Arabidopsis thaliana: one gene and its partner. The protein of the gene in region 2 interacts with the protein of the main gene of each other region in a pairwise test. Each region holds a gene or a part of one and is shown on either strand. Other genes may lie near its edges.

Region 1 (7,486 bases), on a different chromosome or scaffold from region 2:
GTCTCATCCACAGAAGACAATGATAAGAGACACAACCGTTACAGAGTCCATATTGTAAGTAGTAACAAGGAATTGTTTTTCAAACTAATGGCTACACTATCTCTACAAAAGCCGTTGCTGTTAGAATTTTTGAACTTCATTATCACGGTATTGTTCTAATATGTCTGTTACGTGTTCTACCAGCAATTTCGAAAGGGAGTTCAACTCGGAGTTGCAGAGCTTAGGACCAGTCTTGAGCAAAGGCTCCCAGGCTGAGCCATACTTGACTCATCTCTCCCAGTGGATCCTTGGTGTTTCGAAAGAATAAGAGGTGAGACTTTAACTAAACAAACTCAGGCAATTCAATTTGTTTTTTAATGTTATCAAATGATATTCAGCTTGAGAAGTTGTTATGAGATGTGTGCGTGTGTTTAGGCTTTTGTTGTCGTTTCTTTATTTTGTTTGTGAACTCCACGATATAAGAACAAGTCTCAGGCTCTCTGTTAAAAATTTGCATTCAAGATTTGTGGGTTTTCACTGCAACTACATGTCTCTTGAGGGAAGTATCTGTGAATCTTTTACTGTGTAACTAAAAAGTAGTTTTGTTCAAATTTTCTTACAATGCATTACTCGCTCACAATAAACCCAGATCCATCTGTTTTACTGGCTAATATACAATAAACAAAATCCAATTATGCAATCCAAAGAGAGAAGTGAAAACACTCTCGACAAAGTACAGAAAAAGTTTCAGAAGACGAAAAAGATTTTGCTTCAGCAGTTGATGCCACACTTGGAAGTGTCAGGTCCTTTGGTCTTGAGCACAAAAGGATCAATTCTTACCCAAAGCAAAGAGAAGATAGATGCCAATAACACTGACCAAATCACCACAATGGTTGGTGTTCTGTTCTGTCTACCCATCAGACCTTTGAGGAATGGGTAGAGATGAACAATGACCCAAAAGGAGAAGAAGAGTTTACCAAATAGAGGTCCCCAAGACTGATATCCATTGTTAATGGCATCTGAGATGCCTGCAACAACGCCAACAATGTTTATGATTAAGACAGTTGTTGGAGGGATCAGCAGTGTTGTCCATTTGAATGCGTAAAGTTCTCCAAAGTCATCATCATCTGTTGCCTTTGATGTGACGGTGAAGTTTGTGTCAATGCCTGCTAAGATTTTGAGGAGACCTTGGACAACCGCAAAGAGATGAGCTGAGATTCCTCCAATGACCCAGAATTGCTCGTTTCTCCACCATTCCTCAATGCTAACTCCGCTCCATCTCAATTCCAAGATTCCCGTTACAATGATCGACATAAACAGTGAGATGAAGAAGAGACTAGCAAATGTGCTTATCTGAAAGAAAAATTGGGAAAACAGATAGTTAGCACATTTGATGCAGCTTCTAAGTGCTTTTCTCTGATAATTTTACTAACCGGTGGCATGATGAATTTGTCAGTAAGGAGACAGATGGCTGGAAGGATACAGTAGGCAAGAAGTGGTATAGATGTGAAGGGGTAGATTGTTGTGTTGGCATAAGCAAAACGCTCAAGCCACTTGAGTTTGCCTCCTTTGTAGCCATACCAGAGAGGACTGTGCCGGCTGAAAAATATCTCAACCGATCCAAGTGCCCAACGCAAAACCTGGTTTAACCTGTCTGATAGATTAATAGGAGCTGAACCTTTGAATGCAGGCCTCTTAGGCATGCAGTAAATAGACCTCCATCCACGGCAATGCATCTTGAATCCCGTCAAAATATCCTCTGTGATAGAGCCATAGATCCAACCCAGCTGCAATTTCGAGATACACAAACGTTTTTTACAATGGCCAGCTACTAAATCACAAATAAGAAGGTGATTTCTACGATTCAGTATTATTACCTCAGTTCCCCACTCAGTCTTGTCTTCATAACCGCAGCTTATGACATGGATTGCCTCTTTAAGGAGCACTGCAGGACTTGATGACGGAGGAACACCACCTTCTTCCATCAAAGTTGAGGTTACAAAGATGGATGATTGCCCAAATGTTTTCTCAAAGTTCATTTCAGACATCAAATGCTCCTTATCACCTTCTGCTCCTGCCAAAAAACACTATCAGATCCGCAAGATTCCAACATAAACGAAATCTACTGCAAGAATGGACTGATATTATAAGGTTGTTGGGATAATTTACCTCCAAGGGCTGCTACGTCACCATTCATGTCATTCTTGGAAAATTTCTTATTCTTTCTCCGGCGCCCAAAGCAAGGACAACAACCACAGCTTATCATCTTTGGACGTTTAGGACCCTTTGGTGGTTCATAACCATACAGAGCTTGTCGTTTGAAAACACAACCAGTACCAACGTAAACTGGACCTTGGATTCCATCTAGACCTTTCATATTGATCTGTAGCAAACAAGAGTGTAAGCAAGAGGGTACATTTTCATTTAGACCAGAAGTTGGAAAAATATGAATTGAGTCTTACATCAAAGAAGACTGTGTTTCTGTTGGCGTAACGATCGTTTGTGTCAATGCCATCAAACCTTTGAGGGAACTGAACATAGCAGACCTTCTTTCCAATCTGAGGATCCATCAAAAAACACATTGCTTCCCTCACGGCCTTGCTGTTGTTTACATAGTGATCACAGTCCAAGTTCAGCATGAAAGGAGCATTTGTGAGTACGCCTGCCACTCGAACCTGACAGAAGTATCAGGTTAGGTCCAAGACACGGAGATCAGTTTCTTGTTTGGTCCAAGGCAGATCAAGAAAATTACCAGGGCATTCATGGCGCCAGCTTTCTTGTGGTGTTGAAAACCAGGACGCTTCTCACGGGACACGTACACAAGCCGAGGAAGCTCATGCCCTTCGACATCAAATCCTCCGCTGTGGCCGAGGAAGACTTGGATCATACCGGGGTGGTCCTTGGTGTTGTTCCCTGGCCACGGTGTTCCATCTTGCATGATCCAACCTTCTAGAGGAACCTTTGAGGCCTTCGCCACTTGAGCGTTGATCCTGACCTTGAACTCCTCATATTCTCTCTGTCATATGTCAATTTCACTTATGAAGTTTAGATTATAGTGAAAAGATGGGTGGTGGTATAACTAGATCAGGTGATATACACTGACCTTCATGGCTCGACGTTCCTTAACAAATGTTGGGTGGACTTTGTCCTGGAGATAATCAACTTTCAACGTGAAGTACATCTCCGGTGCCCGTGGCTCTATGGAGAATTTCTTACAGAAGGGAACCCATTTTCTTGCAAACTCAGCAGTTTCCGAGAGAGATTCGAATGTAAGCATTGAAGCACCGTCGTCAGAGACATAGCAGGAGATTTTCTCAACTGGGTAGTCCATGGCCAAGATTGACAGCACAGTGTTGGATGTGACGAGGGGAGGCTCCTTCAATGGGTCCACCGTACTGACAAAGACATCTACAGGGGCAAGCATATTTGGTTCACCTTCTCTCTCGTACCTGTATAAACAAAAAATATTTACATCCAAACTCCAACGTCATAGATTTTAAGACTTCTACTTGAGAATCTGTGGATTTTACCTGAGGGAAAGCCGATCTAGATAGGTCTCACGTTCAATAGGGAACCACTTGGGGAACTGATCAAGAATCCAAGAGACAGCGAACCAGATTTCACAGATCACAGAGGTCAGCCATAATCCCAGAGCATCATGCACTGGATTCAAGAGCCTATACCGCAGAAAAACTGCTAGAATCACAAGCCTAGCGACGATGACCATCCGATATGGATTGATCTTGCTTGAGGCAATGGGAACTTTCCGCGAGAGTGGCTGCCGTGCCTCGTCGATCCTACAGCCATTTCCAGTCAAATCCAAAATTTTGTAAGCATGAATCCAAATCATACAAAACTGATGTCTTAGATAAATGTTTGTGGAGGCATTACAGTCCCATCTCAGGATCATCATCTGGTTCTGGCCCAAGATTTCCATGCTGGAGCTTCCAGTCATCCATTCTTTCCCGCCATCCTCCCTCACTCCCTACCACATTAAAATTACACACATAAACAAAAAGGAAAGTATTGTTAGAAAAAGGGTCTGCTGATGAATTTCATAGAAAGAATGTAATAGAACCCAAAGTCCATGTTTATGAAACTATGTCCCTATCTACTATTAAGCTGGAAGGCCTCATACTTATGTTATTTGCACATATGGAGATATGCATGACCCTAACTAATCATCACTGTGAGACATTCTTAAATCTATATGTAAGTTAACATTTCCATGAGACTCACCAGCTTCAGATGATGGATATGGGTGCACACGCTTATGAAGCCCATGTTCTCCATTACCATAACCTCCTCCAACTGGAAATTCTCCACTATGACCACCAGCTATAACAGGTGGGAATCTCCCATTCTCATCATCCTCAGGACCTCTTCCATAGCTCATTTTCCCATAAAGCATAGCCTCAGCAGAATGCTTATGCTTATCTTGTTCATGTTCGATATTAAATTCATACTCAATATCATCAATATCTTCTTCGTCTTCATCTCCCTCCACTCTTGGGCTTCCTTCAGAAACCAAAAAACAGATCATTACTCTCCAAGTTCAAACTAAAAAAAGGAACAGCCTTTTTAAATTTTCATAGAGGCATTTCGTCGAACAACACAAGAGCAGAGGGAGATTAATAAATAACTTACCTCTGAGACGCTTGTAACGAGTCTTACACTGAGGACAGTTTTGTGTTCCTTCTCTTCTCTCGTACTCATAGCAAGGTCTACACGCCGGAAAACCACACTCATTGCAAGCTACGAAGAGGTCTCCTTCTACTGTTAAACCAATCTGATCTCCACATATCTCACAGAATTGTCCATCTAGATTCTTCAGAGGCTTTGGCTGTTATAATTACACAAAAGTTTAAGTTCCTTAAAGACGAAATAAAACCTGAAATTTCTAATCAACAAAAAAAGATTCTAATGAAGTAAAGATAATAAAAAAAATGACAGCGATTAAAATGGTTAAACCTGACTTCTCAACTTAATATTACCAACAAAATTATTATGTTTGCTAACAAAGATATGAATTTTCTACAACATTATTGCAACTACAGAATACAGATTATAAATTTTTGTCTCATAATAAGAAGATGATTTTAAAAAATGATCATATTTTTATTCCCAAAACATACGAATTTTTAAAAAATAGTAACCAAATAAAACGAAAAAATGCAATAATATTTTACTAGCGTTGGTAAAAAAAAACTTTGGTAAGTGATGAGAAAAAGTAAATGTGAAAAACCTCTTCATGGTTGTGAATGACGACTAGTTCATTACGGTTATGAGAACCGGCGACAAGACCGGCGCTAGCTTCCATAGGGACGGCCGGAGATTAGCAGCGATCTTGAGAGAACAAAACGGTGATCAATGAGAGACGAATAAGTTTGGTTTTTATGTGTGAAAAGCTTTTAGTTTCTCTCTCTGTATGGTACATAGTTTGTTGTAGAGTCTCCATTGCCTTCAAGCTAAGCTTTCGTTTTATATTATTTCTTTTTTGTAAAAACAACTGTTTTAGTAAAAATTTCTACACAACTGCAACAAACTCATCACTCACATCCATCAGCTGATGACATGTCTTTCTTTCATCGTCGCGGTTTCCTTAAGCTTCTCTTTTTTATCCTTTGCAGGTCTCTCTCATTTTACTTACTGTCCTAATCTCATTTCCTTCTGTTTTCATTATACTAATTATATATGTTCATTTTATTCAAAAGGATCCTATTATTTTACCCTTTAACAAAAAAAAAACTATATACAGTATATGCATGCTGATAATTCGTAAATATAATAAATCTGGTATCTTATTATATAAAGTGATCGGCCAAAATACTAGTAATTTTGAATTAAAATTAGTTAGGGGGTAAGGTTTGGTGAGAGGAGTGCAAGCCAAGTTACGTTCCCTGTCCTTAATTAGGTGAATTTTCTGCATACATAAGCTAAAGAGAATGTAAAGATCATATATGCCTTTGATCTTCTTCACCCTTTCTTGTTCATTCTGTTTCCATGACAATTCCTCTGCGCCAATCCTTTTTCTTTTGGAGTCTGCGGATAAAGATCTAGTCCATGGGACTAGGCAGGTTCAGAAGCACAACGGGCTGGGCCTTGACCAGCCATGGTTGTTTCCAAATACAAAACAAATCGAATCAAGTGGGCAGCTACTTGAATTCTGTTAACATCGAAACCAGAATTTTGAGTCTCTTGCACCTATCAATACAAAACCAAAAAAAAAAAAAACTTATGATTCGGAAACAAACAACAATTTTATAGTTATACAACTAAATTAGACTACACTAATAAATAAATAAAATGATCCTCAATCTGAAAATTTTATCCAAATAATCGAAACTATGAAAAAAGTTATAAGAAAATTACCCAAAAAAAGGAAAAAGAAAAACAGAATCAAACTGTTCGCAACATACAAAGCAAACAACTAAAAGATCTTTTACTTATTTTTCTAAGTGTCGTTCCAAACTGAAAACGTTGGAGCCCCTTCTCCACCACCTTCCCCGTGAAAGTACATGTTAGAGCTATGGTTATTCGAAATCGCCACCGGAAAATCTCCTCCCGGCGACTGCTGAATCTGCTGTTGTTGCTGATGCTGAGCATAGTAATAATGATTTCTTGCGTTGTAAGCAATCTCAGCAGCAGTAAAGGGATCGTAATTAACCGATGTTCCAACAGGGATTGCGAATCCTTGATAACCACCATAACTAACAACATTTCCACAAACGGTAACAGAATCATCAGAGGTCGAGCTATGATGATCAACATTAGTCATGTGACTCGGCGAGTTTCTCAAGAAGTGTTGTTGTTCCTCCTCTTGTTTGAAACAAACCCTAGTACTCTCGGTAGACAAGTTTCCTCCATTGTAATAACCAACGTACCTCTCCTGCTGTTGCTGCAATAAGCTCAAATCCATTCCCTGATGATGCTGAAACGCAGTGTTTTGCCAACCGCTAACATTATTTGCACTCTCTGAAACGTTATTACTAATCATCATAGCTGGAACCGGATTATTAACGTCCTTGAGACGTTTCGCAGAACTACCAATAGGTAGACTCGGGCTCTCGAGGATTGCTTTAACATTGTATCTGTTCATGTCGAAGTTAGTCACTGCGCTTAATCCTCTGAATTTAATGGCTGCAATGTCATAAGCCTCAGCAGCCTCTTCCTGTGTGCCTACATAATTTGTATGATTCACTTAGATATATTTGTGTATATTTAATATCTTATAGTATATAGATTTTATTGGAAAATGTACCGAAAGTTCCCAAGTAGAGGTCTTTGTTACCGGCGACTCTTCCGATCCTAGCTTGCCACCTTCCATGTTGGTGATGCCTTTTGGAACCATTTTAAAGGAAATATTAATTAGATTAGATTAATAGTATTGTATGACAATTATTATGTATACATCAAAAAAAATAATGAAACACTGTATTCGTTCCATATCTAGATGGATTATACGTACCTTGTTACTCCTCGATAAATCGATGCACCACGAGAGAAA
Region 2 (3,111 bases):
AAATATTAATTTTAATTGAATATAAAATTGAATTCAACCAGAACAGTATTAGACAATGAATGTATCAATTTTTGTTTAAGCTTAGAAATTACAATAGAAACTTTTTGAAGATTTAGCTCAAAAATAAACTTATATATGACATATTTATATATATATATATATATGTGTGTGTAATTTTCTTATCATGTATGGAGACTTGGTAAGTTAGCATTATCAAGACACAATTTTTTTCTCCATCTTCAGAATTAATGTATTTGTTTTGTTAATTAAATACGTATAATTGTTTTTTTTGTTTTGTTTTGGTAAATATTAAGTAGAACTATAATGAGAAGATTAACATGGTATATGTGTTAGTATACCAATACCAAGTTTTCAAATAGAAAAATGTCCAATTTTAAGTATGATTTCATTTGACATTGTATGTTTTTTTTAATTAATATTCTTATCGAGTTACAGTTACAAATTATCTGTTTTAACCAAAAACAACTATCTATTTTATTTCTCTACAGTTTTTTTTGAAAGATTACTTTTCTTAGAGAGATAGAGATAAAAGTTCGCTCCTAGAACATAAAAACCATCACCATTCACCAACCCAAGTTTGAAGAACCATCTTTGTCCAAAGAATTTAAATAAATATTTCAGATGCTTTTTTTTTATTTCACCAAACAAATGATTCACACACAACCACAATTTTAATATAAATAAATAGATAGGTAACATTATGAATGAAGAAAGCTCATTCACGAACGGGAAACGACTGATGATCCAACTCCACCATCTTTCTTCAGATCTTTCTCTTCTCTCTTGATCGCGTCTTCGATCTTAACATCATCCTCAACTGATAACACCACAGACTTTTGTCCATTAGGTCCTTCGACTATAGCTTCCTTCATCTTAAAGTGTTCATCCACGCGAACCGCTTCAGATCTCTCACGGTGCTTCCTGGATCTCTTCTTGATCAAGAACCAGATAACAAACGCTAGAAACGCCAAGAACATGACACAACCCAAAGAAACAAACACAACTACTACAACAGTAGTGTCATGGTCTGGAGTTGGTGTGGGACGGTAAACTGAATCCGTGGAGGCCATTACTTGTGTTTGATGTGTGAGGCTCTGATGATTTATTTCTTGAGGTGGAAATGGTTTGAGGAAGATGGAGAATCATGGGGCTTATTTGTAGTGAGTATTGAGAGTATAGGTTGCTGCTAAGTTTGTAATGACTTAACTCCCATCCTAAGGTTTTGTTTGCTTGTTGTTTTTGTTAAGCTAACCTAGAATGTTTAAAAAAAAAAAAAAAGAGTAAAAGCCAAGAAAAACAGGCACTCAGCTCAAAATATCTTATTTTGTTGGTGTAATCCAAAAATATGTAAGAATTGTAAGAGGTAAGATTCATAATTCTCACAATTCTTGTTTCATAAAAATACTCCATATACTAAAGAAAAGTAATGAAATATTAATTAAAAAAAATAAAATATATATGAACATACAAAAGATTTTTGATATTTTGTTCTTTTATCCAAAACTAGACAAAAGCTTAAAAATAAGATTTGAACCCTACATAAGTTTCAAATTCTCAGCATAGTCTAGAGAAGTGTAAACTCTCGTACCCTTATAAGCACTTCAAGACCTTGTATTTGAACTCTTGTGAAACTCCTCCTCTCGAGGTTGAATTAATCAATGTAACATGGTTCTAGTACTAGACAGTACGGTGACAACACAACTTCACCTCTACCAGTCATTCCAACAATGAATAACTCGGTATTTTGAACTATGTTATCCCACCAAGAAGGCAATATATGTTGGATTAAGCTTGAAGAAGACTTAAGTAATAAGTCATTTATTTATTTAAGAGAAAAGGAATTCCTTGTAATTCTAGGAGTTATCTAGAATATTCATTAGGAGTTATCTAATGATTAGGATAATGTTGAATCTCTATTATATAAGGAGATACCAATGTGTGGTATAACTTATGAGCTTTTGAGAGAGATTGTGAGATTGAGAGCTTTAGGTTTTGAGCTATTTTCCTAAAGTAATAAAGAGAGTAATTCTTTATATTTTGAGTTCTTAATCTTTCTTAAACTCTAGATTTGGTATCAGAGCGTGAGGCTATTGAATCAATCATAAGAAGAAATGAGTGATATCGTTCCCGCAGCTAGAACAACGAAAGAAGTTAGTGGATCCTCTTCAATCCAATGTCCTATGCTAAACGCTATCAACTACACGGTATGGGCCATGAGGATGAAGAGGGCACTAAAGGTTCATAAAGCTTGGAACATGATAGACAAGGTGACAGAACCGTTTGATGAAGATAAGAGTGATGTTGCTTGTGCTTTGTTGTTTCAATCAATCCCAGAAGCATTAGCTTTACAAATCGGAGAACTTGATACAGCAAGAGAAGTATGGGATGCAATCAAATCAAGACATCTGGGGGTAGAGAGAGTCAAGGATGCTAGGTTACAAACCCTCATGGCCGAATTTGACCGATTAACAATGAAGGATTCTGAGAAAATATATGACTTTGCTGGCAAGTTATCTGAGATCTCAGCAAAATCAGCTGCTTTAGGTGTAATTATTGAAGAATCAAGACTTGTTAAGAAGTTTCTTAAGAGTGTTCCACGAAGAAAATACATTCACATAGTAGCTGCACTAGAACAAGTCTTAGATCTTAACACCATAACTTTTGATGACATAGTTGGTCGGCTGAAAGTATATGAAGAACGTGCATGTTTTTGATGGAGATGATCCTCAAGAAGACCAAAGCAAGCTTCTGTATTCAAATATGGATTCTCAAGGAAGTTACTCAAACAATCGAGATCCAGGAAACGATTCCAGGGCAGAGGTCGAGGAGGAAGAGGATATGAAAGAGGGAGAGGATGTGGACGTTCATATGGAGGAAGAGATACGTCAAGAGTAATGTGTTTCCGATGCGACAAGTTAGGTCACTACGCTTCAACATGTCTTGATCGATTGTTAAAGCTACAGGAAACGCAAGAACATGACAAAGAAGAGACACATGAAGCGGATGAGCTCATGATGCATGAGGTGATATTTTTGAATGAGAAGAATTGTGTACCAAGCATGTATGAAGCAAACACCGAAGAAGAAAACA

Evidence for each region.
Region 1: the proteins of TED6 (region 2) and IRX3 interact in a protein complementation assay, tested with the Arabidopsis thaliana proteins (one study listed by BioGRID).

Annotation. Positions count from the first base shown.
Region 1 is NC_003076.8:5,736,109-5,743,594, forward strand, and holds IRX3 (Cellulose synthase family protein), read right to left. Parts: upstream 5,393-7,486; 5' UTR 5,300-5,392; coding exon 5,225-5,299; intron 4,823-5,224; coding exon 4,627-4,822; intron 4,498-4,626; coding exon 4,219-4,497; intron 3,965-4,218; coding exon 3,871-3,964; intron 3,777-3,870; coding exon 3,510-3,776; intron 3,429-3,509; coding exon 3,083-3,428; intron 2,996-3,082; coding exon 2,732-2,995; intron 2,655-2,731; coding exon 2,442-2,654; intron 2,363-2,441; coding exon 2,149-2,362; intron 2,054-2,148; coding exon 1,857-2,053; intron 1,767-1,856; coding exon 1,413-1,766; intron 1,333-1,412; coding exon 751-1,332; 3' UTR 522-750; downstream 1-521. Other genes in the region: AT5G17410 (Spc97 / Spc98 family of spindle pole body (SBP) component), read left to right, coding at 1-54, 184-307; BBM (Integrase-type DNA-binding superfamily protein), read right to left, coding at 6,434-7,158, 7,241-7,317, 7,448-7,486.
Region 2 is NC_003070.9:16,573,932-16,577,042, reverse strand, and holds TED6 (tracheary element differentiation-related 6), read right to left. Parts: upstream 1,285-3,111; 5' UTR 1,092-1,284; coding exon 741-1,091; 3' UTR 502-740; downstream 1-501. UniProt on the Arabidopsis thaliana protein: Involved in the secondary cell wall (SCW) formation of vessel elements (e.g. protoxylem and metaxylem), thus promoting tracheary element (TE) differentiation.